Anolis sagrei: one gene and its partner. The main gene of each other region encodes a partner of the protein of the gene in region 2 in a complex. Links are inferred from orthologs where the notes say so. Each region holds a gene or a part of one and is shown on either strand. Other genes may lie near its edges. The genes, in order: TRAPPC12 and TRAPPC11.

Region 1 (16,379 bases), on a different chromosome or scaffold from region 2:
ACTATTGAGGAAAGGTTATGTGATCAGAATTATATTTTTTTCTGAGCAATGCATATTCTTCACCCTTCAAAGGAGATGGTACAAAGAAACCTGATTCCGCCCCCCTCAAATCTAAATATTAACCCTGTTGACTTTTGCAACTTTTGATTTGCCAAGTTAGCATGTCTGCACTATTCTGTCACTACATGAAGGTCTCTATCCCCCTCTTACTTCATCACAAGTGAAGGAGAGGAACTGGGTTCAATTTTGTTAATTCCCACTCCCACGCAAAACAGTGTGAAGCTACTCAGTCTGGTGTGTGTGTACTTCTACTATCTCATCCTAGATCAGTGGTTCCCAACCTTTGGGCCTCCAGGTGTTTTGGACTTCAGCTCCCACAGTACCTAACAGCTGGTAAAGTGGCTGGGAGTTGAAGTCCAAAATACCTGGAGGCCCAAAGGTTGGGAACACTGTCCTAACCCTCTTCCACACAGCTGGATAAAATCCTACATTATCTGCTTTGAACTGGAATATATGGCAGTGTGGACTCAGATAACCCAATTCAAATTGTGGGGTTTTCTGTCTTGATATTCTGGGTTATATGGCTGTGTGGAAGGGCCCCTAGATGATACTGAAAAATACTTTCTCCTCTCTATGGGATCCCATGGAGTGAGCTTTGGTCTCTCAGTCTATTATGATCTGCATGAAACTGTTGGGTGGGGCCACTGAATGTTAAGGATGCACTGCTACCAGTATGTAGAGGACTCTTTCCTCCTATTTCATTTGCTTGAGATGTGGAGAGAACTTCAAACAACTATCTAGATTAGTAACAAATTGTCTCAAGGTGTAATAGTCTTAACTCAAACAAAACAAGAAATGATTATGCTAGGGGCCATCTACAGAGGAAAGGAAATGTCTGCTTTACATTTGGTCATACATATCACCTGAAGAGTGGGTTCATAGTTGGGGGCATTTTTGAAATGCCTTTGAATGTATCAGCTGTAGTATTACAGGTATTGAAAAGCAACAGGAGAGCCTTACCTGAATGTTGTCAAATTTTAATCCCGGCATTGTGAGATTCTCTTTGTCTATGAAAACATTACTATACTGCTGCGTGGCTACAGAAATCAACACATTTCTAGTTATGTCACTGGGAAGCCAAGCATCATGTCTTCTGTCCACTTCACTCATATTCAGCACAGATGCAAAAGGATCATCACTGCCTTGAAAAACGGCTTGTATATGGGAAAATGGCTTTGGAGACTGTGATATTTCTGGAGAAGATGCAGATCTTCCAGCTTCAGATCTTCCACTTTTAGCAGAGCATTTAAGGTCAGCAGAGTCATGGGAATCTACAGTTGTTGCAAGAGAAGACATTTGTTCTGGTACAGATGAGCTTGCATTAGGGTTACTGACGGAAATGAAAGAGGATGTGGTAAATGAATCAAAGAAATCAGAAGCTAGTGTATTGGTATTAATGGCTTCACCAAAAAACTTGCTTAGACTTGGACTAGGCTGAACCACCTGGGGATGAGTTTTCACCGGAGTCTCGCTTATACCACCAAAGCTAGGTGACTTCACCATTTGAGGCTCAAAGCCATCATGCAAGAATTGTTGCTGGCCGTTCATATGATTCCCTTGGCTGAAGATAGTACACACAGGAATAGGCTCAGTGCCGACAGGTGATGTGCTGGCAAGTGGCGAGGATGTTGTCTCCTCAGTTTTGCCTTCACTGTTGGCAACAGAATTAGGACCTTCACCTTTCACTTCCAATTCATCTTGTGCAGGTTCCTGAATCAAGTCTTCTTTTAAAGTGAATTGATTATCACTTCCACTATTAGAAATAGCTTTAGGAGTGCCTTCGGGTTCAGTGTCATCCTCATCACCAACAGCCTTGTTTCTTGTCTCTCCTTCTGTTACGAGAACATCCTTTTCTTCCAGTTGCTTTACAATTTCTTGCAGACAACCAAGATCACCGGTATCATCTTCACTATTATTTGGGGAATCTGATATAATGACACTTTCCATCATCTGTTCATTCAGTTTATCTAAGAAGGGACTAGAATCCTCCACAGCAGTCTCATTTTCCTCAGACCCAAACTCATCTCCTCCAAGATCAATGTTTTCTTCCTGAAAAAGAAGTTCTTCATCCGCTTGCTGCTGGACGCTGCATTCACCTTCTGCTGCATCTCCAATACTGCTTTCTTTGTTTTCCATAGCTGCTGTAAGTGAAAATACAAGTGAACGTGATTACTCTCATTGGTAATGAAATCATTGGCCATTTATGCATAAAGCAGCAACACTGAAGTCTATCCAGCATTTCAATAAACATCAAGTGTTACAAAACAATAAAGTCCTCCTCACTAACCTTGTGCAAGACAACCATGACAAGTGACATAAAAGCACTGAAAACCACCAAAGCCACCTACTGAAGACCTTAGTACTGTATTTTCACCTGAGCCTAAAAATGGGCTGAAAAACTTGGATTATACTAAAGCATATACCGTACTTCATTAACTGGAGTATACTTATAGATAGAAGGACCAAATAGGGACATTAGACAAGGGTTTCTCAACCAGGGTTCCTTAAATCCCCATGGTTCTGCAAGAGCTTAGTAGGGATTATGTAAAAGATTATAACTGGAAAAAAAATCAATATACTTTTTAAGAAGAAGATATAACTTTATACATGGAGTCCCTGAGATCTGAACACTTGTTCAAAGGTTCCTCCAGCGTAAAATGATTTAACAAGGCTGCATTATACATGAATTCACCTATTTATGGGAAATGTTCTGGTGTCAAGCACCTCAACACTGCTCTGTACAGTAAACTTTTTTCATTCTGGCTTGCTCATTTGCAATGGCATAGAAGTTGATCTAGATACAATAGGCTACAATTCCCTACATCAGAGTTGACTTGTCCACTTGTAATAGTAGCCAATGCTTGCTCTTTTAGACCCCAACAGGAGAGTTGGCCCTTGTGTTGCTGAGAGAGAGGGGCAAGGCTTTGGGGGAGCCTGGTTGCACAGAGAAGAACAAACTATGGAGAAGGAAGAATGCAGGTCAGGGAAAAGATGGAGGAGTAAATGGGAAGGAGGAAGATAGCAGGAGGAGATGAGAAAGAACTTGCAGATGGTGAACGAGGTGGGTAAATAGTATATTGAACAGCTAGAACAAGTAAATCCTGACTGGGCTGCTGTTTCTCTGCTTTAGACAGTGTGACAAGAGTGATTTTTGCCTCCTTGAGAGTGGATGGGATGCTTGATTAAAATTGCAGATCGATTGTTCTCAAGACATGAACATCGGTGGAATAAGCACTAAACAACTATCATTGCTGAAAAATAAATGTATACCAGAGTAACAAGTAGGGATGTGTGAAATGGCGCAGAATCTGTTCTATTTTTGTTCTGTTTTGTCTGTCTCTCTCTCTCCCCCCCCCCCCCCTTCTGTTTTTGGGAAGATTCTTCCTGAAATGGAAATAAAACTCAGGTTTCCGAATTACGAATCCAAACACCTCCCCCTCCACCCCCATCTCCTGGAACCTTTATGAAAACAGAATGAGGGTTACCTAAAATTCGAAATGGAAACAGAAGAGATTCACACACCCCTAGTAAGTAACAAGGTAAGAAGAGGCTAAGTGGCAAGAGGGTAGAACTGGTATTAGTACCTCTAAAGCTAGCCATTTAAAAAACCTGCAAATTTTGTTGACTAGTTCTAGATGCTGCTCAGTGGTTCTCAACCTGTAGGTCCCCAGATGTTTTGGCCTTCCATTCTCAAAAATCCTAACAACTGGTAAATTTGGCTGAGATTTCTGGGAGCTGTAGGCCAAAACATTTGAGGACTCACAGGTTGAGAACCACTGAAGTAGCTCTTTTCATTTTGAGTACACACATATAGTTCTTGGGTACTACAAGGCAGTTCTGTTGTCATTCACCATGCCGTAGAAGGTCATGCAGTGGGCAAAGAGACATACCTAGCTTTGGAGGACCAGCTCCTCCGAACACCAGCTGCACTGTACGTTTTCTTCCTATGCCACTCATCTCACCAGTGCTTAAAAGGACAACTACCCCAGATATGGGCTATATCCCTCACTTGGAGATGCCCTGATATCTTCAATTGCTGCTCAATGTAACAAGGAGTGGGATTTCTCTTTCAGCACTAGAAAAAATTGCTCTCACATGAAGAGATTTGGTCCCGGGAGGGACACTCCATGGGATGGAGTTGGCATTTGTGCACTCTATTCACTGTCTTAAATCACAACTTCATCTTGTGATTGCTTGCTCTGGCTGGAGATTACTTTGAAGTTTATAATCACTTATATCATTTCATATCATATTCAAGTGACTGCTTGAAATTTCTTTTGGATTGAGTTATTGCGCTGCTACCAATCAGAGCTTTGATGATATAGTGGGTACTGTCTAAATTATCTGGCAAAGAATCGTGGCAAAACACTGGTGCTGGTAGACTTCAAAAGAGAGACAGAGGGATTACTAGGTCAAAACACTGCAATAAATGTCATAGATTTTGATGAGACGTGTCTTATTTACTTTTGCAGTTAGTTACTTCAAAGCAAGGATATGCCTTTATACTGAATTGCAGAAATATCCAATATTTGTTCTTCTACACCAGTGGCTCCCAACTTTTGGTCCTCCAGGCGTTTTGGGCTTCAGCTCCCAGAATTTCTAACAGCTGGTAAGCTGGCTAGGATTCCTGGATGTGGAAGTCTAAAACACTTGGAGGACACTAAAGTATTCTTTACAGGAATATGGGGAATCCAGCATGCCAAAAATATGATAATGGTGCACGAAATGATAGAAGACAAAGAAATGTAAAAGAAAATATGTAGTGAAGGGGATTCCATTTCAAATTGAGCATTGCCATGGAGAGCATAGAAAGCATGCTATAAATTTTTAGCTGAAAGCAACTTGAACTGAGCCATCCCAAAAATGCAGTTTTCAGGTACTGAAAAATAATTTCCCAAATTCAGCTCTGTCAGGTTTGGCTTCACTATGTACAACACTTGTCTTTTTGGAAGAGAAAGCAGGGGTGGGTTTCTGGATGCTTAAAATAGAAAAATATGTGACAAATTATTTTCTTTAATATGTTTGCAAAGATTATTATCATTTTAATAAAACAAACATCTTTGTATAATAAAATTCAGGAAGTGTATGTTATATGTATTTTCCCACAGTTTGAAGTAAAGGGTCAATATATACATGCCAATAATATATTTTTTTAAACCCTCTGAAATCAGGACAGTAAATAAAGAGGAACACTAAAAACAGGGGAATTCCTGACATGAAACAATCAGGGGCAGTTAACACCTCCCAACAAAGGATTCCCTCAGGCTTTGAAGCTGCAAGACCATTCAATGCTAATCAAGGTGGCCAATTTATTTATTTGTTTACGATATTTCTACCCCACCTTTTTCAAACCCGAAGGTGACTCAAGGTAGCTTTACAACATAGGCAACTATTTGATGACATTAAAATAATTTAAAAATTACAATCAACATTTAAAACAGAATTACAACATACATACATTAAAACCTTTAAAAACATATTCCAACACTCACACTTGCCTCAAACAGATAAGAGTTCTTTCTCCCACCCTGGACATTATTCCACAGATATATAAACCCCAGTTGTCTACATTCCAACAGAATTCACAACCTCTGAGAATTCCTGCCATAGATGTGGGTGAAACATCAGGAGAGAATGCTTCTGGAACATGGCCATATAGCCTGGAAAACTCACAGCAACCCAGTGATTCTGGCCATGAAAGCCTTCGACAATACATGCCAATAATAATTAATAGCAATGAATTGTTGCTCTTAATGTTGACTTGTGAATGAGACTTTCAAGTAATCCTATCGCCAACACCCTTCTTGAAGTCTTGCAGACCCAGGGTGCATCTACACTGCAGAATCCATGAAGTCTGACACCCCTTTAACTGACATGGTTCAATGCTATGGATCCTTGGATTTGTAGTTTGGTGCGGCACAAACAGTCTTTCTCAGAGAAGGCTGAAGACATTGTAAAACCATAACTCCCAGGATTCTGTAGCATTTAGTCATGGCAATTAAGGTGGGATCAAAATGCTTCATTCCTGTGGTTCTCAACCTGTGGGTCCCAGATGTTTTGGCCTTCAACTCCCAGAAATCCTAAAAGCTGGTAAACTGGCTGGGATTTCTGAGAGTTGTAGGCCAAAACACCTGGGGACCCACAGGCTGAGAACCACAGCATAAATGTAGATGCACCCTTATGATTGAGTGTATCCCTCTGCAGTGTAGTCTTTACCTTTTCCTGCTGCCTTCCCCCTTAACAAACAGTATTGCCTTTTCTAGTGAGCCATTTCTTTTCAGGATATGGCCAAAGTACGACAGTCTCAGGCCAGATCAACACTGCCATATCATCCTTTTTTTTGAATCCAGATTATCTGGATTATATGGCAGTTCTACACTACCATATAATCCAACTCAAAGTAGATAATTTGGATTCAGAAATTTATTTATTTATTCACAACATTTATATGCTGCCCTTCTCATCCTGAAGGGGACTCAGAGAGGTTTACAAATAATATGTAAATACAATCTATATAAATAAAAATGTAATCTTTGTTTGTGGGATTAACATAACTCAAAAACCACTGGACGAATTGACACCAAATTTGGACACAATGCACCTGTCAGGCCAACGAGTGACCATCACTCATAAAAACACTGAAAAACACAGCCGAAAAGACTTTAGAAACCAAAAAAGCAAAAAGACACCACAGCACAAAAACGACTTCCCCTGGCGAACAAAACACACAATAGCATATCCACACTCTCCTCCAGACTACAGCTCCCAGCATTTCCTAGACCAGACCCTTTAGGAGAAGGGGATGATTCAAATGCACTGCTTCCAAGCTGCAAGATTCCTTCTCCTTGGACTTCTTTGAGAGTATCCCAATCCCTGCATATTTCCAATTTCCTATTCCTGGACTGCAGTTCCCAGCAATCCTCCAGATAGATAGATTAGATAGAGATAGGTAGGTAGGTAGATAGATGGATGGATCAGGAGGACTGTTGGGAGTTGCAGTCCAAGAATAGGTAGAGAAGGTAGAGAGGAAAGAAAGGTGAAGGGAAAGAAAAAAGGGGGTGGGTGGAAGGGAAGAAGAAGAGAAGGAAGGAAGGAGAGAAAGAACGAAGAGAAAGAGGGAGGAAAAGTTGGCCACAGCAACGCATGGCGGGTACAGCTAGAAGAAGAAGAGGAAGAAGAAGAACTTTATTTTTCTACCCCACCTCCATCTCCTCGAAGGGACTTGGGGTGGCTAACATGGAACCCAAGCCCAGGCAGAATACAGTTAAAATAAAGCAATAACAATTAAAGCAATATAAACAGCATAAAACAACATAATAAAAATAGCTAGCAATAACAATACCAGCAGACTAATTTTGGAGGGGGGGGGGGGAGGAAAACCACTACGTGAACTAGTTAAATGATAGTTGGTTTAATAAGGTAGATGACAATGTATAACGGCATAGGAAAAATCATGGAAACAGAGCAAATTAACAGGATCAGTTAATATAATATAGGACATCAGACTGAATGACAATTCAAGTCATGATACAGGCCATATATCATAGGAGTTGTCAACCGAAAGCTAGTATATTATATTATTACCATAGCACAATATTAGTATTATATATTACTATATTGCACTATACTATTATATTGTAATATTATTAGTAATATTACATATAAGATAAAATACATAATTATAATATCATATTATTATTATATTGTATTACATTATAATATTATCAATATTATATGTTTATACAATATATTATAGAAACGGGATTCTATGGCAACGCAGTGAGACAAATCTCCCCCTTGGAAGGGAAATTGACTCTTGAAAGAGTTTATCACGGGGGGAAAGTGTCTCCACTGCAGCTTTGGCACCAATCCTTGTTTCCACGACAAGCCGCATTTTTCAATATCCAATAATCACAGGGACAGAAAGAGAGAGTTGAAATCCTCTGAACAGGGGCTCAGGCAGCATCACAAACCCCACAGGAGTGTTCTCCCTTCCCTGCGCCAGCCAAAGCGAAGAAATACACGTGCCTGGCCCCTTCTTGGCCTCACTTACTTCCACTGACAGCAACACCGGCAAGGCCTCCGAGGCGAAATAGGGAAACCCACCGAGTGCGCATGCGCGCCCGCTTTCACGGTCCCACTGCAGCCGCCGTCTCTTCTGCCGCTGCGTGAACGGAGCGTCTCTTTCCATCCAGGAAGTGGAGAGAAAGACGGAAGCCGGCGAGGGACGTGCAAGCACTTGTTGTGAGCTTCGCCTTTTCCCTATGGGGCTTTGAATGGGGATTGCTTCCCGGAAGCCATGGAGGATGATGCTCCCGTGATTTATGGGCTCGAGTTCCAGGTAATGGGGAAGAAGGGGCTTCAATGAGGGTTTTTTTTTTGTCGTGTCATGATCAGCATGGTAATTGGAAAGGAAGGGGAATGCTGTGAACAGCAGCAACACATGTTTCCTATAATCTAGGACCCCTTCCACACAACTGTATACAATCCCACAATATCTGCTTTGAACTGGGTTATATGGCAGTGGACTCTGGGCCTTTACACCCAGCCATATCACCCAGAATATCAAGGCAGAAAATCCCACAAAATCAGCTTTGAACTGGGTTATATAGCAGTAGACTCTGGGCCCTTCCACCCAGCCATATAACCTAGAATATCAAGGCAGAAAATCCCACAAAATCAGCTTTGAACTGGGTTATATGGCAGTGGACTCTGGGCCATTCCACCCAGCCATATCACCCAGAATATCAAGGCAAAAAACCTCACAATATCTGCTTTGAACAGGGTTATATCACAATGTGGACTTGGGCCCTTCCACCCAGCCATATAACCCAGAATATCAAGGCAGAAAATCCCACAATATCTACTTTGAACTGGGTTATCTGAGTCCACACTGACATATATTCCAGTTCAAAGCAGAAAATGTGGGATTTTATTCAGTTGTGTGGAAGGGGCTTCAGATAACCCAGTTCAAAGCAGATATTGTGGGACTTTCTGCCTTGATATTCTGAGTTATATGGCAGTGGGGAAGGGCCGAACCTCACACCAAATGCATCTGTAAATGCAAAACGTACAATTTTATAAATACAAGTTGAGTATGACTTACCTGAAATTGTATTGGATTTCAAATTTTTCAATGTATTTTGGAATCTCTGTATTTGCATCATGAGATACCTTGTGGTGCATCTACACTGCAGGGTTAATGCAGTTTGACACCATTTTAACCGCCATGGCTCAGTGCTATGGAATCAGGGGATGTGTAAAAGATTGTGTCTCTCAAATAAGCCCAATGGATGTTTTTTTGGCCTGGATATATTGATAATGGCCTTCTTCTAGGGCTCTTAAAAAGAAATTATTATTATTATGTATATTTATATCCCACCTTTTCTCTACACAAAGGAGATTTTGGGAAAGAATGACCTTTGACATCATAACCTTTTGGAAAACCAGAATCTCCAAAGCCTTTTTGGAAGTGCGACCCTTTGGAGATTATTTATTTACAATTTATTTATGACATTTGGCATCCACACAATTTGTAATGATTATAACCTTTTTGTAAAGTATGATAATCCTGAGAAGAGCTAAAAACTCATTTGAGTGAATCTTTTCTTTAGTGGTATATATCCACTAGTATTCGTGCAAGACAAATTAGGTATACCAATACACATATTTACAATATAGTAAGTAATCTGAATTATATAAATAGCAAATAACTAGTATAGAAGGCTTGTAGAAGGTTGCTATTTCCAATAGGAGACTTGATGTGTGTGTAATAATAATTGCAGGCAAAACATAAACTGAAAATTTATGGAACCACGCACATATCTTATCTCTTATTGATTATCAAATACATTAGCTAAGAAGCATCATATTTAAAAAGAGAAGTCATATGCATATAAAACAATATTTTATTTTCTCAAAACAATATTTCCTTGATTTTGGGATATGCTTTTTTCCATATAAATATGTCAACAGTTGGGGTGTGGCTTGGGATTGCAGGTGCTTTTTTGTATGTATAAATAAAGCTTTTTTCCCTCTGTTCGTGGTACTTAAATTAGTGCCTATTTTACAATCAATGGCATTTTAGAATCATACCTACATACATACTGTTCCATAAGGTAAGATGGACGCAGAACCCCAGCAAAAGTGAGAAAGCTGCCAAAAACGCTTTTATTTTTACTTGAGAGAGCATCTCTCTAGGAATCTGTTAAGACTAGGGTGAATCCATGGTAAACATCTACCAGAGATTCCTATAGAGATGTTCTCTCTAGGAGTTTCTAGATCATATGTGTCAAACTCAAAGTCCATGGACAGAATCCAGCCCGCCATTTCATTTTATTCTGCCTGGCAGATGCTAGACTACAACTCCTGTATTTTTCGCCATTAGTCAACATGACTAGGACTGATGGGAGCTGTATGTATATTTTTTCATGGGTTTCAACAATATGCTAAATTGTGTTTGGTTAAAACAGAGAGACTAAAGCTTCTAAGGTGCTGCTTGAGCCCAAGGTCTCATAGTTTTTATCTTTGAAATGCCAGACCAAGGGCAAGTAGGATCAATAAAGTTGGATATTATGACATCCTGTTTCAGCGCTAACAGCTGCATTGGTTTCTGGTCTATTTCCAGGACCAATTCAAGGGTTGAATTTAACTTTCATAGCTTAGGATCAGTATATTTGAAGTACATTCACAGGTTTCTCTTTTGCAAATCTTCGGCTTAACAAGTTTGACCTCCTTGCCTCACTCCTTGAGCTGCTCCTTCTATCCTGCAATCAGCGCCATCTCCTCACTCCATTTACTGCCTTCCCACTATGAAGGCTCAGCTAGATCTTAAACCCTTTCTGGCTGATTCATTCCCTTGTCTCACTCCTTCTGCTACCAGATTTTAAAATCCTTTCCTTTCAATCCACCTGACCTTCCCTCGCTGTCCCATAGCACCAACTTTTTATTCTTGTTACAACCTTCCCATGATGAAGACTGCTGGAGTTTAAATCGCTTTCCACCAATCCACCATCTCACCCTATTCCTACTGCTGGCAGGAAATTCTTCTTTCCTGCCAGCTCTGCTCTTGGCATCACTCCCTTTACTGCCCTTTGGTCAGACATGGAAGGACAGGCAGAAGGGCAGCAGAAGAAGTGAGGCAAGGAGATGTAATAGTGGAAGGGAGTTTAAATTCTGGCTGTGCTTTATGGTGGAAAAAGTGCTAAATGGAATGAGGGCATGAAGCTGTTGGCAGGACATGGAGGGGCAAAAGAAGGAGTGCTGAGAAGATGGATCGGTGGGAAAGGGGCTTAAACCTGGCTGAGGGTTTATAGTGGAAAGATGGGGAAGGGAATGTGGGCTGGGGGCTGTTAGTGAAAAAAGAATCTGTTGTGTGCATAATAGGGGGATTATGACATTCATGGTTTTCCCATTTTTGCAGGGATCCCGAACCCCTAACCTCTATGAACTGTATACTTGTCTTTCTTCTCTTTCCTTCTCTCACTTTCTCTCTTTTTTCTGTGAATACCTGTGCCTTCTGAAGCAATTGAGTTGATTTGACTCCCAGGGAATGTGCCTTCTTAGAGGTACTCCAATTATGGAAATGCTTTTCACCGAAAGGCTCTCTTGGTGATCATTTTAGTATCATTTAGACACCAGGCCTTTCCTTTTCCTCTCAAGCATTTTTGTCTTTTCTCATAGTTACCGTCTTATGGTGCTCCGGTTTTACTGCCTTATTAATCTGTTGTTTTACATGTATTTTCCTTAAATTCTGGGGTGTTTTGTTGCTGGATTGTATTGTAAAATTTCCTGCCAATGTTATTAAAGGGCAATATATATAAAAAATTTACGCTGCATGAACTGTTGATCATGCCAAAATGTAAGAATTGTGTGCTTCATTTCCTGTCCATGCAGTCCATAGCAGCCTTGCTTGAAAGGAAGCCCTACCAAAAACAATGAATAAATGGCATTAGGTTTGGGTTGTTAATCTAGATGCCAGGATTGTCTTCATGTCTATGTCTTTGGCTTGAAAGAGCACTCTGATTTAATGAAAAATAAGAAAGGCAAAAGTGCTGTCTAGAAATAATCTTTGTTTTATGCAGCCATATAACACCAAAGAACTGTAAATTATTGTGTTCTGAAATGAAGCCATTCTTAAAGAGGTGACCAAAATTTCTCACAATTCTTAATAATATAGCCAGCTCTCTTCATTTGCTGGGGTTAGGTGCTCAGAATCCCCGCAAAAGTGGATAAACCACAATTTTAAAAACTTCTACTACTTTTTGCTTGAACAATCACATTTCTAGATCCTCATGCACAGGGGTTCTCAAACTAAGGCCCAGGGGCCGAATACGGCCCTCCGAGGTTATTTACCCGGCCCTCACTCAGGGTCAACTTAAGTCTGAAACGACTTGAAAGCACACAACAACAACACCAATCCTATGTCATCAGCCAAAAGCAGACCCACCCTTTCCATTGAAATACTAATAAGTTTAAATTTGTTAAATTGTTCTTAATTTTAGTTATTGTATTATTTTTAAGTGTTTTTGCACTACAAATAAGATATGTGCAGTGTGCATAGGAAATCATTCATGTTTTTTTTCAAATTATAATCCAGCCTTCCAACAGTTTGAGGGACTGTGACCTGGCCCTCTCGTGAAAAAGTTTGAGGACCCCTGCTCAAGCATAACTCTGGAAGTTCAACATATAATCACAAACGGACCTAGAGATTCCTCTTATACTGTCTCTAGGAACCTCTAGGTCTTCCAACTTGATTCTGTGGTCAACTTTCAACAGAGGTTGATCACAGAGTCATGCCGAAGGACCTATAGACTCCTAAAAAAAAATCTTTTAATCAAATCTGCAAATAATTCAATCCATAAAAGTCAAACCTGTAAATGTGAAGGACAGACTATATTCAACACATGTATCTTAAAGAAGAGTTGGGTAAAATAGCTTGGCAGATTTCCAGCTTACCCGATTTGTCCCTTTTCTGGCTAGAAAATTATGAAGTAAATCAGAACTCAGTTTTGCAGAAAACAGTTTTAAACAAATATTTTGTAAGAGTTTTCTTATCTTCAGGAATATGTCGGTGTACACACTTCCCAGTGAATGGTTTATAACTGATCCAAACAAAGCACCTGAACTGTATCTTGGAAATGTTGGATAGCTTTGTTTGCACATTAGTTTATAATTGATGATTATAGCATTTATAAGACTCTCACAGTCTTATACAACTGTAGTTTTATTCTTGGATTCATTCATTCATGTCCACACACAGCTATGCCTCAATCTATAGTTAAGAGTTCTTTCTTTCTCCTCCACCAAAGAAAGGGAAAAAAGTGGATAACAGCGGTTGACCAAATGCTTTACAGTCAGATGGTTTTAGGTTCAGTCTCTGGCACTGCCACTTTCCAGAGTTAATCTCAGAAAAGCTCCTGTCTGAAATTCTGGAGAATAGCTGTCAGCATCTGATCGAATAATGAGTGACATGGGCTAGTGATCTGACTTTGGTATAAGGCAGCATCCTATAGCAAGTTATTGTGTATTAGTTTTGAGCAGTGTACTCTGACTCTGGAGAACAGGGTTCAAATTGCTGCTCAGTCATGGAAAAATCCCACTGGAGGGCTTTAGGGCAAGTCACATTCTAACAGTCAGAAGAAGGTAAAAGCCAAATCTTGCTAAGAAAACTCTATGATATGTTGTTTATTATTTATTCATTCAATTTATACCCCACCATTATACCGAAAATGAGATTAAAATACGAAATGCACAGAGTCAGTAATTTGACAAGAGAGTCATGTTGATTTGGTACTTGTTCACTTTGCTCAGTTGTGCAGTTGCTGTTTATATTCAGTGCATTCTTCCCATTGATGAAATGTGTCGACACTTCATTTTGGAGAGTTCTCTTACACCTGAATCACTATACTGTACTTTTATTAGTGAGCCAGTCACTTTACCCAAAGTGAGGCATCACTAGATAAATTCACATAACAAAAAATTCACCCTTTAAAAAATCAAAATGTGTATGGATTCAGTGCCAAGAACCCTAAACTTATGAGAGATCTTGCACAATCTGAAATACTACAAAGTGTGACAGTACTTCTATCATCCTTCTTCCCCTCTCTATGTAGGCACGAGCTTTAACACCCCAGACCGCAGAAACAGATGCAATACGGTTTCTGGTTGGAACACAGTCTCTGAAATATGATAATCAGGTATGTTTGTATCAAAGCTATATGAAAATAGAATTGGCAATGTTTCTAAAGCATTCTGTAGCATAATGATTTTTCCTTGCCAACTTGAATTTTTAAATGTAGTGCCATCCGTGTGTGTGTGTATCTATCTTTGTGTAATGTATGCTATCAGGCATGAGCTTTGAATAGTGTTCAGTTCTTCCTAAGGAATTTTGTTGTATGGGTGAGGAAACATGCCGATATAAAATTCTATCCATGCCCATGGTAGATCATGCAATGAAGAAGTTTTAAGAAACTGAGTAATATGTGCATGGGATTGCTTGGACATGGGAATATGTACTTTTACCTCTGAAAATGGAGAATGGCAATGCTAAGATCTAGAGAATTAAGGAGTTGCAATGATCTCTTAATTTTAATGCATTTTCCATATTTGTATTTTTACTGTCTTCCTTTCCAGATATCCAAATCACACAGGTTTCTATCCATCAATTAGCTTTTCTTTTATCTTTTTCCTTGGGAAATACCTCTTGCAGTAAGACACAGGGATATGAGAGCCAGCGTGGTGTAGTTGTTTGTGTGTTGGACTAGGCTTGATTCCTGACTCTCCTATAGAAACTCATTGGTTGGCCTTGGGTGAGTCACATAATCTGGACCATAGAAAACTCATGAGAGGGTCGCTATAACTTGGAAATGGCTTGAAGGCCTACTAAATTGGGAAAGATAGCTATTACTTCAGAGGGTCAGAACCCAAAATGACCTTAACAGGCTAGTGAGCTTAGCCAAGCCTAACAAAATGAATTTGATCAGGGAGAAATGTACTGTATAGTACTACACTTAGACAGAAAAAAGTAAATGCACAGATACAAGATGGGTGATACCTGGGTTGAAAGTAGTCCATGTGAAAGGGATCTTGTGGTCTTAGTAGACTACAAACTGAACATGAATCAGTGGCATGCAATTTGGATCCATAGCTGTGTCTAGACACAAAAACAATGGATTCAAATTGCAGGAAGTGAAATTCTATCTAACCATTAAGAACTTTCTGATGGTAAGAGCTATTCAACAGTGAATACGCTTCCTTGAAGTGTGGTGAGGCCTCCTTCTCTGGAGGCTTGTAAGCAGAGGCTAGATGGTCATCTGTCTGAGTGCTTTGATTGTGTTTTCCTGGTTGGCAGGGGAGTGGACTGGAAGACCCTTGTAGTCTCTTCCAATTAGTTGATTCTGTAAGAGATCACAGGTTTAGGGTGTGTGGTCCCTTTTCGAAGAATTCCACAGAGTCCAATAGGTTCATGTAAGACACCGTTTATTCTAGCTGATCAGCATGAGGCAAACAGACAGCACTTCTGTAAGTGCTTTCACAGACTGCTGCACCCTCCTCTGTTTTTGCAAACTTTTATATATCCTCAGGAATATTTTTGTCATGGAAAGTACTTTGACCTTTACTCTTCCTGTCCCATCAACCTCTTGATGGAAAGTACCTTCTTGCTCTTGCAGACTTTGCGCTTAACCAAAACCTAACTTCCTATGTAAGCTCAAACTTTGTATGACTTCTACATATCACCTCTTGTTTTTAAAACATTTTCTTCCATGTTGCTCCTTTTCTACAGAGAAAGGGTACATTTCTCCTTTGTTGCTAATTACATTCAAAGCCCCTTGCTTAGCTATTGCTAATTTCACTCATTTCTATAATTTGTATTTCTCTATAAAATCAAAACAAAAACTTTGGAAAATAATGTCTTTAACATATTACTCTTAAGTAATTACTCTAACACAGTATTTTTTTTTTAAAAAACAGTCTTGATTATACAATGATGGAGAAATTGTGTTGCTTTTTCAATTGATTTATGGGTTTTTGAATGTATGATAATCTGAAATCATTGAAGGAAAGCACTGTATAATTCAATTTAGAGGGGAAAGCCAGAGACAAATATAATTAAAAAACATTATTTTCTGAAGTTACAGTTTTGGGTGAACTGGGTTGTATAGGGGTGTGATGTCATTGACTCTAGTGGTTGCTTTTAACTCCAGAGCTCTGAAGGAAAGCAATTCATTCATAAATGCAGCACCCAGGAAACCACACAATTAACACCTACAGCTCTAAAGGTGCATTATGCAACCTAAAAAATGCAGAACAAAAAGACT
Region 2 (16,379 bases):
CTCCCACCCCCCCTCCGCCCAAGCCCTGCCCACACCCACCGACGCCCCGCCCCTGCACTCCTCCTCCTCCCACCCCCCTCCACCCAAGCCCCGCCCACACCCACCGACGCCCCGCCCCTGCACTCCTCCTCCTCCCACCCCCCTCCACCCAAGCCCCGCCCACACCCACCGACGCCCCGCCCCTGCACTCCTCCTCCTCCCACCCCCCTCCGCCCAAGCCCCGCCCACACCCACTGACGCCCGGCCCCTGCACTCCTCCTCCTCCCACCACCTCCGCCCAAGCCCCGCCCACACCCACCAACGCCCCGCCCCTGCACTCCTCCTCCCACCCCCTCCGCCCAAGCCCCGCCCACACCCACCGACGCCCCGCCCCTGCACTCCTCCTCCCACCCCCTCCGCCCAAGCCCCGCCCACACCCACCGACGCCCCGCCCCTGCACTCCTCCTCCCACCCCCTCCGCCCAAGCCCCGCCCACACCCACCGACGCCCCGCCCCTGCACTCCTCCTCCCACCCCCTCCGCCCAAGCCCCGCCCACACCCACCGACGCCCCGCCCCTGCACTCCTCCTCCACCCACCCCCCTCCGTTGTAGCTGCTGGGATTTATAGTTTACCTGTAATCAAAGCATTCTGAATTCCAGCAACGACGGAAATAAACCAAACGTGGCACACAGGACTCCCATGACCCAACAGAAAGCACGAGAAGGGTTGGGTAAGCCCTACTCAAAATTCAAACTGCCAAAACCATCCCTCCTCCATCTTACCCTGCCCACGCCACCTCCAAGCCCCGCCCCCTTCAAACTGCAAAAACCATCCCTCCTCCATCTTACCCTGCCCACGCCACCTCCAAGCCCCGCCCCCTTCAAACTGCAAAAACCATCCCCTGCACTCCTCCTCCCACCCCCTCCGCCCAAGCCCCGCCCACACCCACCGACGCCCCGCCCCTGCACTCCTCCTCCACCCACCCCCCTCCGTTGTAGCTGCTGGGATTTATAGTTTACCTGTAATCAAAGCATTCTGAATTCCAGCAACGATGGAAAAAAACCAAACGTGGCACACAGGACTCCCATGACCCAACAGAAAGCACGAGAAGGGTTGGGTAAGCATTGGGAAGGAAGAAAGGAAGGAGGGAAGGCAGGAAAGAAAGAGGTATCGAAGGAAGGAAAAAGAGAAAGTAGAAAGGAAAGAAAAATAAAAGGAAGGAAAGGCAGGAAAGAGGTAAAGAAGGAAGGAGAAAAGAAAATAAAAAGTGAAAGAAGGAAGGAAACATGGAGGGAAGAAAGGAGGCAAAGGAAGAAAGGGGGAGGGAATGAAGGAAAGAGAGAAGGATGAAACCAAGGAGCGAAAGAAGGAAAAAAAGAAAGAAAGAGGTAGAGAAGGAAGAAAGGAGAGAAAGGGGGAGAAAAAGGGGGAAGGAATAGGTAGGTACCTCTCTTTCATAACACTCCAGATACCTACCTCTACTTTGAAAAGTTTTACTATAGGCCACAGCAACGCGTGGCAGGGCACAGCTAGTGGGTTTATATATCTGTGGAATGGCTGGGGTGGGGCAAGGAGCTCTTCCCTGCTGCAGTTAGATGTGAATGTTTAGTTGATCACCTTCATTAGCATTTGAAGGCCTGCCTGAGCCTGGGAAAATCACCTGATGAACCAGCCTGGACACAGCATATTATTTGAGAACACAGAAATGCTGGACCACACCAACAACCACCATGTCAGACTACACAGAGAAGCCATTGAAATCCACAAGCATGTGGACAATTTCAACAGAAAGGAAGAGACCATGAAAATGAACAAAATCTGGCTACCAGTATTAAAAAACTCTAAAATTATAACAGCTAAACAACAGAGAGGAAAAGGCACAGATTAACACCTCCCAGCAACAGATTTTCCCAGGCTCAGGCAAGCCTTCAAATGCTAATGAAGGTGATCAGCTAAACATTCACACCTAACTGCAGCAGGGAAGAGCTCCTTGCCCCACCCCAGCCATTCCACAGATATATAAACCCATTGTCCTAATTCCAACAGACCTCACTACCTCTGCGGATGCTTGCCATAGATGCAGGCGAAACGTCAGGAGAAATGCCTCTAGAACATGGCTCTATAGCCCGAAAAAACCCACAAGAACCTAGTGATTCCAGCCATGAAAGCCTTCGACAATACATTAAAACAATGTTGAAAAATGCTTGTTTTATAACAGAGATTTACTTCTTACACCCACTGCGACTTTAAAATGATGTGGAAACAGAATGACATTTTCACAAGTGGGAAGACTTCAAATCCAGATGTGTAAATGAAAAACAGTACTTTATATAAATCTATAAAACTGCAACCAGAAAAGACTTGCATGCCATAGGGAATGTTGCTCATTCTAAAGAAATATGGATCATTTCGTAAGAAGGTTTATTAAGAATAAGAATAGGCCTGGCCTGATGAATTTCATGTTTCCCACTAAAATGAATGTAGCTAATTTCATAAATTTGAGGCCCAAGACTAAAGATTGTATTATTTACTTTAAAAAAACATAACTGTAATAGAAAACCGGCTCTCCTTTCTGAACCACATATTTATTTATTCATTTATTTAACTGTATTTATATACTGCCTTTCTCACCGCTTGGGGTTCTTAGGGCCATTTACAACATATTAATGGCAAAAATTCAATGCCAACATACAGCAAAACAAAGAAATCATAATAACTACTTACTACATATAACTTTGACTTAAAATCATTAAAACCATTAAACATAAGACATAAACAAAATTTAAACATTCAGACAAAACATCCTAGAATAAATATTAAAATCACATAATCCAAAAAAATACACCATAACCACTCCGATTGTCATTGCACATGTTCCTTAATTATTCTTTGCACTGTGTTATTTTAATAGCCAATGGCTTGATCTCACAACCACGTTTTTGTTCTCTTTCTAAAGGTCAGGAGGAAAGGTGCTCCAAAGCTGAGAAGCCACCAATGAGAAGGCCCTGTCTCTCACCCCCACCAATCAAACATGTGATGGATGCAGGACCGAGAGCAGAGCCTCCTCAGAATATTTTAACTTCTGTGATTCTTTCTATTATTTACTTTTTAAAAACACAACTGTAATAGAAAAGTGTGATCAGCTCCCCTGCTGTTAGCCCCTGCTTCTGCCAACCTAGCAGTTCAAAAACATGCAAATATTAGTTGATCAATAGGGTACCGCTCCAGCAGGAAGGTAACGGCGCTCCATGCAGTCATGCAGGCCACATGACCTTGGAGGTGTCTTTTGGACAATGCTGGCTCTTCGGCTTAGAAACAGAGATGAGCACCAACCCCCAGAGTCGGACACGATTGGACTTAATGTCAGGGGAAAACCTTAACATTTCAAATAAGAAAAATTACTTCTAGAATAAATTGTTTCCAACTCACCCTATATTGAAATGATACTGGGCTAAGTTCCTTGAAACACTCATCTCCTTCATAAATCGACCGCAAAGCTTCTAACTCCATCTGGAAGAAGAATAGAGCGCCATGGGAGTGAGGCACATTGTTACACACAGAAAAAAGGGAGTAAGAAACAAAACTTTCCAGAGATTGCAGAAATACAACTCTCTTCAGGTATAGGATGCACCTACACCAGGCTTGGGCCAACTTGGGCCCTTTCCTTTTTGGACCTCAACTCCCACAATTCCTAACAGCCTCAGGCCCTTTCCTTTTCCCCCTCAGCCGCTTAAGCCTTGGGAAGTCGGACTTGGCCACAGTGGTCCATGTTCTTGTTACACCCCGATTGGATTACTGCAACGCACTCTACGTGGGGTTGCCTTTGAAGACTGCTCGGAAACTCCAACTGGTCCAGCGAGAGGCAGCCAGATTGCTCACTGGAGCGACATACAGGGAGCAAACCACCCCCCTGTTGTGTCAGCTCCACTGGCTGCTGATCCAATTCCGAGCACAATTCAAAGTGCTGGTTTTGACCTACAAAACCCTAAACGGTTCCGGCCCAGTGTATCTATCCAAACGGATCTCCCTCTATGTCCCACCTTGGAACCTAAGATCCTCTGGGGAGGCCCTGCTCTCGACCCCGCCTCTATCACAAGTGAGATTGGCGGGGACGAGGAGCAGGGCCTTCTCGGTGGTGCCCCCCCGCCTATGGAACTCACTCCCCGGGGAGATTAGATCGGCAACGTCCCTTCTTTCATTTAGGAAGAGGTTGAAGACCTGGATGTGGGACCAGGCAATTGGACATTCTGGCAGCTAAAGAAAGACTTGATGACGAGCTGGAACTTGACGAGACGGAATGGATTTACGGAACTCCGAACGCTGAGCTCAGGATTAGCCTTCTACTGTGTTTATGGTGTTGTTGTGTATTGATGATTTAATTTTTAATTTGTAATTGCTTAATTGCTTTTATATATGTATGTATATGTGACAAGGCATCGAATTGTGCCTTTTTCTGTAAGCCGCCCTGAGTCCCCCCTTGGGGTCGAGAAGGGCGGGGTAAAAGTGACAGAAATAAATAAATAATAAATAAGTCTGTTAGGAATTGTGGGAGTTGAAGTCTAAAAAGGAAAGGGCCTGAGGCTGTTAGGAATTGTGGGAGTTGAAGTCCAAAAAGGAATGGGCCTGAGGTTGTTAGGAATTGTGGGAGTTGAAGTCTAAAAAGGAAAGGGCCTGAGGCTGTTAGGAACTGTGGGAGTTGAAGTCCAAAAAGGAAAGGGCCTGAGGCTGTTAGGAATTGTGGGAGTTGAAGTCCAAAAAGGAAAGGGCCTGAGGTTGTTAGGAATTGTGGGAGTTGAAGTCCAAAAAGGAAAGGGCCTGAGGCTGTTAGGAATTGTGGGAGTTGAAGTCCAAAAAGGAAAGGGCCTGAGGTTGTTAGGAATTGTGGGAGTTGAAGTCCAAAAAGGAAAGGGCCTGAGGCTGTTAGGAATTGTGGGAGTTGAAGTCCAAAACACCTGGAGGACCCAAGTTGGCCCAAGCCTGATCTACACTGTGGAATAAATACAGTTTGACACCACTTTGGCTGTCCTTGGGGTGTTCCAGAGTGCCAATCCGATGGGGATTGTGGGAGTTGTAATCCTAGAAGCAGCCTGTTCCATAGCTTCTTAACCCAAACTGAGTCAGTCTCCCCTCTAGGCCTAACTACTCCAATTGACCCAGGTGGCTCGAAGTGGGCGGGGCCTGGGGAGGCCCCTCCCCTTCCGGAAGTGCCTTAACACTTTCACTGCCGGAGCCCCCTCAAAATAAGCCTCTGCCTCACCTCTTGGTCCTCGTTCGCCGTCATGGCGAGAAGCCAGACAAGGCCGCGGCCCTCTTCCCCCTTTTTTCCTCCTCCTCCTCCCTTCAGCCGTCCTTCAGAGCAGGGAGAAGTCCAGCATCTGCCTCGACCCCTTCCCACACTGCGAGCATCTGAGCCAGAGAGCAAGGCTGCCTTCTGCGCAGGCGCCAAACCAGTGAGGTGACAGCTGCGCCAACACAAGCCGCTCATTGGACAGCGTCACCACGGTCCCGGCTCCCTATTGGCCCGAACCCTTTAGCCCCGCCCACGGAGGAAAAAGGGGGTCCCTCCTTCTTTTCATTGGTCCTTTCATTGACCATTTGCTCCGCCCCGAACTCCCTTCCAATCATCGGTTTCGAGGGCGGAGGCGTCTCTAACGCTGATTGGTCTGTGAGGGCTGTCACTCTCAGCAGTGCTCCTCTCTGGCTTCCTGAGTCAGGCCTTGGGTTCCTGATTGAATGCTTCGCCTGCTCCACTTTCTGTAGCTTGGCTGGGCCTTGGCATGGGCGGCGCCGGTAGGAATTGAGCCGGGCCTCCTCTACTGTTGACGCGGGACCTCGGAACGAAGGTGGGAGCCCTAGAGAAAGCCTCAGGCCCCTTCCACACAGCTGTATACAGTCTACATTGAACCGTGTTATATAGCAGCGTGGACTCAGATAGCCCAGTTCAAAGCAGATATTGTGGATTCGCTGCCTTCATATTCTGGTTCTTATGGCTGTATGGAAGGGTCCTCAGTCCACACTGCCGTGTAATCCAGTTCAAAACAGATACTGTGAATTCCCTGCATTGATATTCTGAGTTATAATGTTGTATGTAAGGGCCCTCAGTCCACACTGCCATATAATCCAGTTCAAAGCAGATATTGTGGATTCCCTGCCTTGATATTCTGGGTAATATGGCTGTATGGAAGGGTCCTCAGTCCACACTGCCATATAATCCAGTTCAAAACAGATAATAATATGATATTATAATTATATATTTTATATTACATGTAATATTACTAATAATATTACACTATAATGGTATAGTACAGTATAGTAATATATAATACTGATATTGTACTATACTAATAATATAATATATATTGTGTGTGTATGTATATATATATATATTTATTTATTTACTGCGCTTATATACCGCAATTCTCAGCCCTAGGGCGACTCATTGCTGTGTACAACATGAAAAAAAATAGGTGCAAATTACAAACCATAGTGCAAAATAATCCACAATTCATCATTATCATAAAAACATCTTATCAAAAAATCACATTACTACCAAATTTCTACTATATATATCTATCTTGTAAGCTGCTATGAGTCCCCTTCGGGGTGAGAAGGGCGGCATATAAATGTTGTGAATAAATAAATAAATTTTGTGTATTATCTGCCTTGATATTCTGGGTTATATGGCTGTGTGGAAGGGCCCTTAGAGAGGAAAAGGAAGGAATTGGAGTGACATCTACACTGCTGAATTAACACAGTTTTGACACTGGTTTAACCGCCAGGGCTCAGTGCTGTGGAATCCTGGGAGTTGCAATTTTGGTGAAGCCCTAACACCCTGTGGACTAGATCGAACACTAACATAGGAAATATTGCATGAACACCAAGCACAAAGTAGCTGCATGCAATACCATCCTGTGGAAACTTACTGGCAGCACATGGGGTGCAGATCCAAAATTAATAAGAACATTGGCCCTAGCCTTGTCTTATTCAACTGCTGCGTATGTCTGCAATGTTTGGCACAAGTCTGCTCATGCAAAGCAGGTGAACATAGCATTAATTTACGACATTTATATGCTGTCCTTCTCACCTTCTTTCTTCTCTGTTGATAAACTCTACAAGCTAGCTGGTATCCCCCCCACCCCCGATGTGCAATGGGAAGTTACTGCTAACTGTGAGAGAAATATAGTTGAACACTGTGAAAGCCACCCATTGCATTGCTATCAGCCTCCTCCCAGATGACTCAAATCAAGGGAAAGCTTCATGAGAACCACCACTCCTCTTAACAGCCCCAAGCAACGGCAAGAGTATCCCTCTGGGCATCTAAACCAGGAAATCCCAATCGGATGCCCCTCCAGGAGAGTCTTCCTCCAGGGACAAACCAAAAATGGGCAACTTGGAAGTCCCTGAACAGACTCTGAAGCAGAGTGGGCAGATCAAAAGATAACCTGGCAAAATGGCACTACCTAAAAGAATCCCCCACCCTGTGTGACTGTGGAGCAGAACAGACAACTCTGCAACTGTATGCTTGTCCACTATGCCCTGCCTCATGTATGGAGGAAGAATTGTTGGCAGCTACAGATAATGGTGTTGCTTTTGCCCGTTTTTGGTCAAAGGGTATTTAGCCTTTTGTGCTCCTTCTATTTTTTATCAGTTTTATACTGCAATGCTTTTGATACGAAATAAAGAAAAAACCCTGTGGACTTTGTAGAACTGCAACTCCCATGACTGCATGGCACCCAGCAATGACAGTTAAAGTGGTGTGAAACTGCATTTAATCTATAGTGTAAAGCAGAGCTTTCCCAACATGAATGTGTCGCGCAAACTTAATGAGAGACCTCTATGAGAAATAACCAATAAATCATATGCTTAAACATAAAAATGCAAGGTTTTCATGATATATGATGTGACCCCATACATTTTTGTATTACAATTTAGATATGTGTCTGGTTTGCTAGTAAAACTGAATTACTGTGTTGCAAAATGATGCTTGTCTAAAAATGGTGTCACCAACATGAAATGGTTGGAAAGCTTTGGTGTTGATGTTGTTCTGAGACAATGCTGTTATTTCATAGGACGGCACAGCCTTTTGGTTTACAACAGAGTTAAGGAGCTATTGGCGCTTCTTTTGGACTATATAACTCACTTCCTCTATCATTAGATAGATTAGATAGAGGGGTGAGGAGTTGTGGTCAAGATTATCTGAAGAATGTTTATATCTGTTGCTCATTTTCATATTGTTGTGTGTGCTGGACTTGTATGTGATATTGTATATCTTTGGGCGCGGGGGGGGGGGGGGGGTTGACGTATGGCCAGAAGACAGCTCTCCCCACATTGAGCATGTTTGGCACTTGAAATTACTATATTTTTTGAATTCTGCAACACTTTATTTACCATCTAAACATCTCTAAAAATGGATTGCGTCTTAGAAACATGGGTTCTTACACACACACATACACATTTCTATTGGTAGCACTAAAATTAGTTTACATCAATGGCATTTTTAAAATGGAAGAAGTATTTGAAATGAGATCTGTCAATACCATGTGTGTCCTAAAGACAAATTAATGTGTTCCAAAACAAATCAGGCTTAAACTCTCCCTTAAAAGAGAAACCATTGATATCCATAAGCATGCGGACAATTTCAACAGAAATGAAGAAACCACAAAAATGAACAAAATTTAGCTGAAAGAGACCCTTCAAATCCTTATTATATAGAATATCACAGGCTGATGTTTAACACTGCCAACTCATATTTTGATACCTCAAATGTTAGACCTAGGTATATTTGACCCGCTGATTTTTAAAAAATGGCACCGGTTTCCCCCTACAAGCTCTAGTTTGTGAGATGCAGAGAATATGTGATATACCAGTCTTCTACTGCTTGCCCATAGAAAATAATGATAACTACATCTAAGAAAGTAGAACTGATGCAGTCTACTTTTACTATGATATTGTTATTTTTGTTTGCTATGTTTTTTGATATTGTCATTTATGCATTGTTTTTATTCTTGTTTTGATTTGTACTTATTTCTGTAATCTGCCCCGAGTTCTGTTGGAAAAGGGATGTGATATAAATAAAGATTATTATTGTTAAATGCAATTTTCTGAATCAATGTCCCAAGTAACTCCAGGAACAGGCTAAAAAAGCAAGACACTAAGAAAAATATGTGTTATTAGATATTAGATTGTTAGGGCCAAAGTACAAGTGGACCATTAAGAGCTGCATAAAAAGATAGTCCTTTCCCGTCAAAAGATGGCAGATGGTTCTTGACAATAGCATTCTTCTATTCTTACCGCTAAATGAAGGATGCTTGTTTTGTCTGCATGTACTTTGGGCAGACAAAGAGTTTAGCCAAATCTCAGAAAAGAGTTCTTCCTTTTGTTCATCGCAGGCTATAAATGTATCAATAATTTGTATTTTTGAAGCACCAAATTTATGTCTGAATATTATTGTCAGTATATGTTTAATGTTTTGCCTGTTTATATGCTTAATGTTTTAGAATTCCTGATACACTGTCAAGATGAGCCCTTCACAGTGGGACTTTCCGGTGGAACTATGTTGCCGGCCTATGGCTTTTGTTACACTCACGGGCTTGGATGTAGTATATAATGCTGTTCATCGAGCGGTTTGGGATGCCTTTTGTGCAAACAGGAGAGCTGACAGAGTGCCCATTTCTTTTAAAGTACTGCCTGGTGATCATGAATACCCTAAATGCAGAACAAAGGTATTGCTTGAAGTCTTAGCTATGTTTACTGAGAATCACTTACAGTTTATACTGATCTTTGAATGTTGCAGTAATAAGTTTCCTACTTGAAGATTGCTTATAGGTTTAAACTGTCATTGTGAAGGAATCATTTCAAAAGTAAGTGCAGAATTATAATTTAAGTCTCAAAACTACTAAATGGGTTGGTTTATTAAATAAGTTATTATAAATAGAGTAGAAACCTTTTCTATGATTCAAAGCAAAAACTGTTGTCAGTTTGCACCATTGGTTAAGCAGTTCAGAGAACCAGTGCAACACCATCGTACCCATATTTGCTCAGAATTAAGTGCCCAGAGGTTAGAAAGCTTAGGCTTTAGAACATGTCTTTTAAGACTTCAACACAAATAATTAAACAAGCAATGATACAGATTTTGTTTCCTTCAGAAACCATTATCAGGAGTGACATAAATAAAACAAAATGTTCAGGAAATTGCCTTTGTGTATGTATGAACAGAGAGAACAGCTTCTCTTCATATTTATTTATTGCAGAGAACATCATATGAATGGTACATTCCAAAGGGTATCCTGAAGACTGGTTGGATGAACAAACATCTGAATTTGGTACCTGCCCTCGTTGTGGTTTTCTATGAGCTGGATTGGGATGAACCACAATGGAAAGAAAAACAGTCAGAATGTGCTACTAGAGTTGAAATTGTCAGGTATAATCTCTGTTGATTTATTAGTTATTAGCTATTCCTTAGTAAAGGTGTATTGCAAAGAAATGTTACCTTGTTAAACAGTTGTATTTCACTTTTCCCCTGTCTTCCACATTTAGGATAGACACTACTGCCCTACACATGTTAGAGCACCTTTACAAAAAATCATTGCAATACCTGTAATTCTGCTCTTAGATTGCTTCAAGTACTGTATTTTGTTGCATCATAGCCACACTTTTAATCTCTTTTTTATTGGAAAAGGGAGGGAGTGTGACTATTACACGATGAAATAAAATGTTGCCTTGTATTTGCCAGTTCCTGTTTCTTTAAAAAAAACCCAACTATTTGACTTCTGAAGCGAAGAGGAGGAAAGAGGGACAATTCTGTGATTATTTAAACTGTCTTTGAGGGGTCAGGGAGGGAGGAAGGTAGTTTTGTTTTAAAACTATCTGTAACAATTATGCAAGAAAAGAAAAAATTCATTGGGGAACCCAAAAAGCGGGGTGCATTGATTATGCAATGTTGACTATTATGTGGTGAAATGCCATAAGTGGCAAGTGAGATTTGCCTGAGATTTGAAAAAAAGTAAGGAGGAGCTCTTGCCTTTCCAAAAGAGGAACAAAGAATGCATCCTTTAAGTTGATTCGGTTTTATTTCGAATAATTCCTTAATACATTAGATTGTTTTGTTGACAGTTGTTTGAGTATTTGCAATCCTGAATCCAGCATTGTTCTTACAGGCAGAGTTTGCAAGGACGAAACACAAAAGTTGCTGTTGTTTTGATACAGAAGAAAACACCATTGCCTCCAGGTAAAGTATAGTTAGACTCATTCTGTTTTTGTTCTAGAAAACAAAGACAAAATTTTAAGGAACTTAATTAAGACTACGAAAGAAAATGGTGTAAATAAGGTAGGAGACCTCTTAAAACCCACCTGAGAAATTAAAAAAATAGGGTAAGATAAAGGACAGATAAAGAACTGGATAGCATGGTTAAGCTTGTCCCAAAGAATAAAGGAAATGAAAAAAAAAAAACAGATGCCCCATTAGATAGAATCGTTAATTGGAAAATAGAAAAAGAAAATTATTGGGGAATTATATAAGGAACTAACACCCTTATCTTATAAGACAAAATGCACCTTAGTAGAGGCTGGGAAGCAAGATACAAACTTTGATGAGAATTTAGTTAGGTCCTGGGTTGACAAAATCCAAAAAAAATAATCATCTAAAGATCAAGGAAACACAAAGGGAAACAATCACAAAATGGTTCAGAACCCCCTTACAATTGGCACACATTATGGGAAACATTTCTCATAAATCCTGGCGTAAGTGTGGGGAAATTGGGACATTTTGTCATATGTGGTGGGATTGCATTGAAATTTAAAAGTATTATAACACAGTCAGGGAAGTAATAGAGGAAATAATAAGGCAAAAATTATATTAGAATAAAGCCCGATTTCTGTCCCTCACTATAGAGGTAAAGAAGGGGAATAACGAATGGACAGAAATATTAAAACTTATGATATCAGCCATATATTCCACAATTGCCCAAGGTTGGAAAGGTAAAACAAGATGGGATCTGGAAACATGGTAGACTGACCTCTCTGAATAATTAACAACTTAATTAGTCAAAGGGAAAATAAATATTTGAATAGTAATTCCAAACAAGACTGAATAGGAAATTGACAAAACAGAAGGAAATTATAGATACAGAATTTTGAACCAGACCATCCAAACGATTAAATCAGTGTATTAAAATAGTCTGACCCAGATTGGGGGGGGGGTGGGAAGAGGGGAGGGGGATTTCTACATTAATTGGTTACGTTAGATAGAGGTTATAGTTCAGTAATATCTAGAGAACATCAGAAAATAGTTCTAACTGATAAAATAGGACCACTAGAGATAGAATAGCTGTAAAGTGTACTCTAATAAATTTGGGATGAATTGATATTCTTTTGCAAGATTTAATTACATACTTCTTAAAATTCACTAAAGTGGTTGATTAATGTACAATATTCCCAACAAAGTAGATGATATTGATTGATTTGTAGATATAGCTTAATAAAGTATACGAAGATTGCAAATTTGAGTCTGATTATACTTCTTATTGTGTTCATGTGGCCTTTTAGGAGAAGATGTCATTGCTTCTGAGCGGGCAGCAGCATTATGCAATGCTTGTGACCTGTCTGGAAAATCACTCTTTGTTTTGCCGCATACTGATCATCTTGTAGGTTATATTATACGGTAAGTAAATAATGTGAAAGGTGGGACTTTCTATTGATATTCTTGATGAAGGCTGAAATTCTCTTAATGTATGTTTGAGAGAAATCCCCTAAGTGAGATTTACTTCTCACATAACAGAATCAGGCTCCCTGTGTATTTCTGTTAAATTTTAAGAAGAATAGAATGATCCAGCTATTTCTAAACATCTCCACAGTGTAGAGCGGTTTCATTCAGATGTGGAGAACCTTTCCCAGTCTGTCTCTTGAGATGGAAAATGGGACACTGAATGATGTTTCTTGTTTATATATTTCTCCCAAATTGACTTCAGTGCATTTTTGTGCAAAATGTTAAATATAGTTGGGGTAAACTTTGAAAAAAAAATTGTGGAGTATCATTAAAGGTGGGTTTGCTCTAGGTATTTATTGACTATTTTTGCCATCAGTTAATCATGTGTATTTAGTTGAGGGGTCTTGGTAAATCAGCATGTATATAAACTAAATTGATTTAGTGGATCTCCTCCAGGTGTGACTAACAACTGGATTTACTCAATTAAAGCAGGCATGGGCAAACTTTAGCCCTCCAGGTGCTTACACAGCTGAGGGGGAAAGGAAAGGACCCGAAGCTGTTAAGAATTGTGGGAATTGAAGTCCAAAACACCTGGAAGGCAACAGTTTTCCCATGCCTGCTTTAGCCTATAAATAAATCTCTATATGTACTGGAAGTGATTTCTTTTACTTAGTATTTTTTGCATTTGATATTTTTTGCTCAGGCTAGAAAATGCTTTCTATGAACATGCACAGACCTATTACTACACAGAAATCCGAAGAGTAAAATCCCATAAAGAATATCTAAACAAAACGACACATCAGGTATAGTTAAAAAATGTTATTGAATTTATTATTGGAGTATTTGGGTGTACAGAATTTGCTGCACAAGAAGTAAAGTTTCATTTCTAACTGAACGTTTGCATTATTTTGAGGATAGATTAACATTAAAAACTTGTACTCATCAATATTACTGCTCCTCTGTTTTAGCACAAATGTTTATTCATACCTGTTAATGGTTAAATAGGAGTCCCACTGGAGCATTGTAGCACACCAAAATACCTGGGTGTTACTCTGGACAATGTTCTGACTTACAAGAAGCACTGCTTGAATATCAGGCAAAAATGGGTTCTAGAAATAATATCATACGAAAGCTGACTAGCACAACCTGGGGATCACAACTAGACACAGTGAAGACATCTGCCTCTCCACTTTGCTGCTGGATATGCATGCCCAGTGTGGCATACATCTCACCACGTTAAAACAGTAGATGTGGCTCTTAATGAGATATGTCGCATTATCACAGGATGTCTTCGCTCTACACAATTGGAGAAAATACACTGTTTAGCTGGTATTGCACCACCTCATATCTGCGAGGAAATAGCAGGCAGCAATGAAAGGACCAAGACATTGACATCTCCGGCCCATCCTCCATTCAGATGTTAGCCAGCAAGCCAATGCCTTAAATTAAGCAATAGCTTCCTAAGATCTACAGAGATAACTCACAGGAATGCTTCAGCAAGCAAGAGTCCAAAAGTGGCAGGTTAAAACCTGGAATCTCATTCAGTGGCTGATATCAGAAGACTGGGCGACTTGGAAAGCACTGAATAGACAGTGCTCTGGCACCACGAGATGCAGAGCCAACCTTAAGAAATGGAGCCACAAAGTGGAGTCCATGACATGCACGTGTGAAGAAGAGCAAACCGCAGACCACCTACTACAATGCAACCTGAGCCCTGCCACATGCACAATGGAGGACCTTCTCATAACAACACCAGAGGCACTCCAAGTGGCCAGCTACTGGTGAAAGGATATTTAATATAATGCCAAGTTTCTAACTTTATTTATGTTTTTAACACCATTATAACTGTATTCTCAATTTGCTTCTGACACGATAAATAAATAATGGTTAGATGATATTTCCTTGGATGGTAAATTATCTTTTACACAGTGTGGACACCTCCGCCCCCCAAAATGGGCTTGTATATGTTTCAAAGAAAGGGGAGAAGGGTTGACTGGGCAGAAAAGTATGCTTGGGAGCCAGTCATTTATTTCCTGTATCTCTGCTCAAAGCACCCAGAAAGATGGACCAGATAAAAATAAACAATATGGTGTTTTAAAACCAATAAAAACACTGGCAACAATTAGAAAGGGGCAGTGTACTGACCCAAGAGAAATAAGAATAGATGATATTACAGAGTAAAAGTATAATTGACATTTAAAGCATCATTTGAAATAAGTGCCTTCACTTGTTGTATTTTTATATTGTGCAAGATTATTGTTGGAGTCATTGCTACTGCCTTTGTTGAAGGTCACTTTAGCGTCACTGTCCTGAAATATTGCATATTTTCTATGTTTCAGCTTTTGTTTGTTAGGCATCAGTTCAAAATAGCGTTCTTCAGTGAGTTGAAGCAGGATACACAGAATGCTCTAAAGTAAGTATTGTTATGCAGTCCTGAAGTCTGAATTGCTTTTCCTCATGAAGCAATCTTCCTTGTCCACTTTCAAAAAGATAGGAATGTGAAACAGAGCATGGAAAACATTGTTTTGCTCAATTTCTTTAAGCAGTATGAGAGTGCTGTATCCAAACAAATACATACTCCATCATGTCATGCAGAATGTTGTCTGTTCCATCAGGAAACTTTATCTAAGAGACTCCCTTAAATTTCTAAAAGCAAACAATTTCCTCTGGCACCTAGCTAAAATACTCATTCTTTCCTTACATAATTATTTGAGAGTGGGCCCATAGTGCTGTAATTGAAAATTTAAGGAAGACGACCATGCCTTCACATGATCTAATTTAGAGGAGCTTCAGTGTGATGTTCATATCCTAGATGGAATGATTATTTTTTCATGCTGAAGAAAATGGGTTGCACTAGGGTTTGTTACGTTGTTTTTGGATCTTTCTGGATTGCACATTCACGATACCTGCGCTTCAATGTCTTATTTAGAAACTACAGAACTGCATACAATCTTGTACATGAATTAAGAGCTCATGAAACAAATATGTTGGAAATCAAGACTATGGCAGGATTTATAAATTACAAGGTAAGTGTTTTTTTTTAATTTTCAACATGGAAAGAAATTAGAGATCATGCGTCTTAACATGCAACTTCTGTATTGATGAAAAGTGGGATTCTTTGGAACACTAAATCAAGAGAAAGGAAATGCTTTGCATTGCAGATGGTGGCTGTGTCTGAAAACAACCTTGTCTTAGCATTTGGAAACAGTAGGATGCATACAACATGAATGTGGTAGATTCTGATGCATGTTGTCTCTATAGATGTTAGTGATTTTAAGGAGTATAATAATCCGCGGTTAAGGAAATTTGGTGAGTTATTCCACTGGAGTCCACTTAGGAATGGAACGCTGAATGGACAGAAGTGCAAAGCAATGGTTTGCTAGCATTTTTGCCTTGGGTTTTAAACTGTGGTTATTACCAGCCGTATTTGCTATTGCGTATGAATAGAGGTTCAGTTTAATATATCTACAAAGTCATCTGGAATACTGTATTGGGAGTAATTTCCAATGAATGCATTGCAAATAGATAGAAAAATATATTGCAATTCCCTGAATGAGTGTAAGATTTTGGAGAGTCCAAAGTCAAAAATTTGCAGTGTTAATGGGGCCAAAAATTAACAAGTTTTTGTGTGTAACGAGATATGAAATTTTAGACTTGATCCTATGAAAATATACATTTTAAATGTAATCTGTAGGC

The links.
Region 1: TRAPPC11 (region 2) and TRAPPC12 share a complex: the UniProt entries of both Homo sapiens proteins name them as parts of the multisubunit TRAPP (transport protein particle) complex. The link is inferred for Anolis sagrei from reciprocal best matches to the Homo sapiens genes TRAPPC11 and TRAPPC12.

What each region holds. Positions count from the first base shown.
Region 1 is NC_090021.1:119,247,048-119,263,426, forward strand, and holds the start of TRAPPC12 (trafficking protein particle complex subunit 12), read right to left. Parts: upstream 8,244-16,379; 5' UTR 8,178-8,243; coding exon 8,114-8,177; intron 2,202-8,113; coding exon 1,021-2,201; intron 1-1,020. Other genes in the region: EIPR1 (EARP and GARP complex-interacting protein 1), read left to right, coding at 8,360-8,401, 14,175-14,258. UniProt on the Homo sapiens protein: Component of the TRAPP complex, which is involved in endoplasmic reticulum to Golgi apparatus trafficking at a very early stage.
Region 2 is NC_090025.1:65,963,049-65,979,427, forward strand, and holds the start of TRAPPC11 (trafficking protein particle complex subunit 11), read left to right. Parts: upstream 1-5,638; 5' UTR 5,639-5,823; intron 5,824-9,477; 5' UTR 9,478-9,498; coding exon 9,499-9,702; intron 9,703-10,230; coding exon 10,231-10,400; intron 10,401-11,136; coding exon 11,137-11,207; intron 11,208-12,523; coding exon 12,524-12,638; intron 12,639-13,386; coding exon 13,387-13,486; intron 13,487-15,022; coding exon 15,023-15,096; intron 15,097-15,612; coding exon 15,613-15,709; intron 15,710-16,379. Other genes in the region: RWDD4 (RWD domain-containing protein 4), read right to left, coding at 3,410-3,490, 5,238-5,261. UniProt on the Homo sapiens protein: Involved in endoplasmic reticulum to Golgi apparatus trafficking at a very early stage.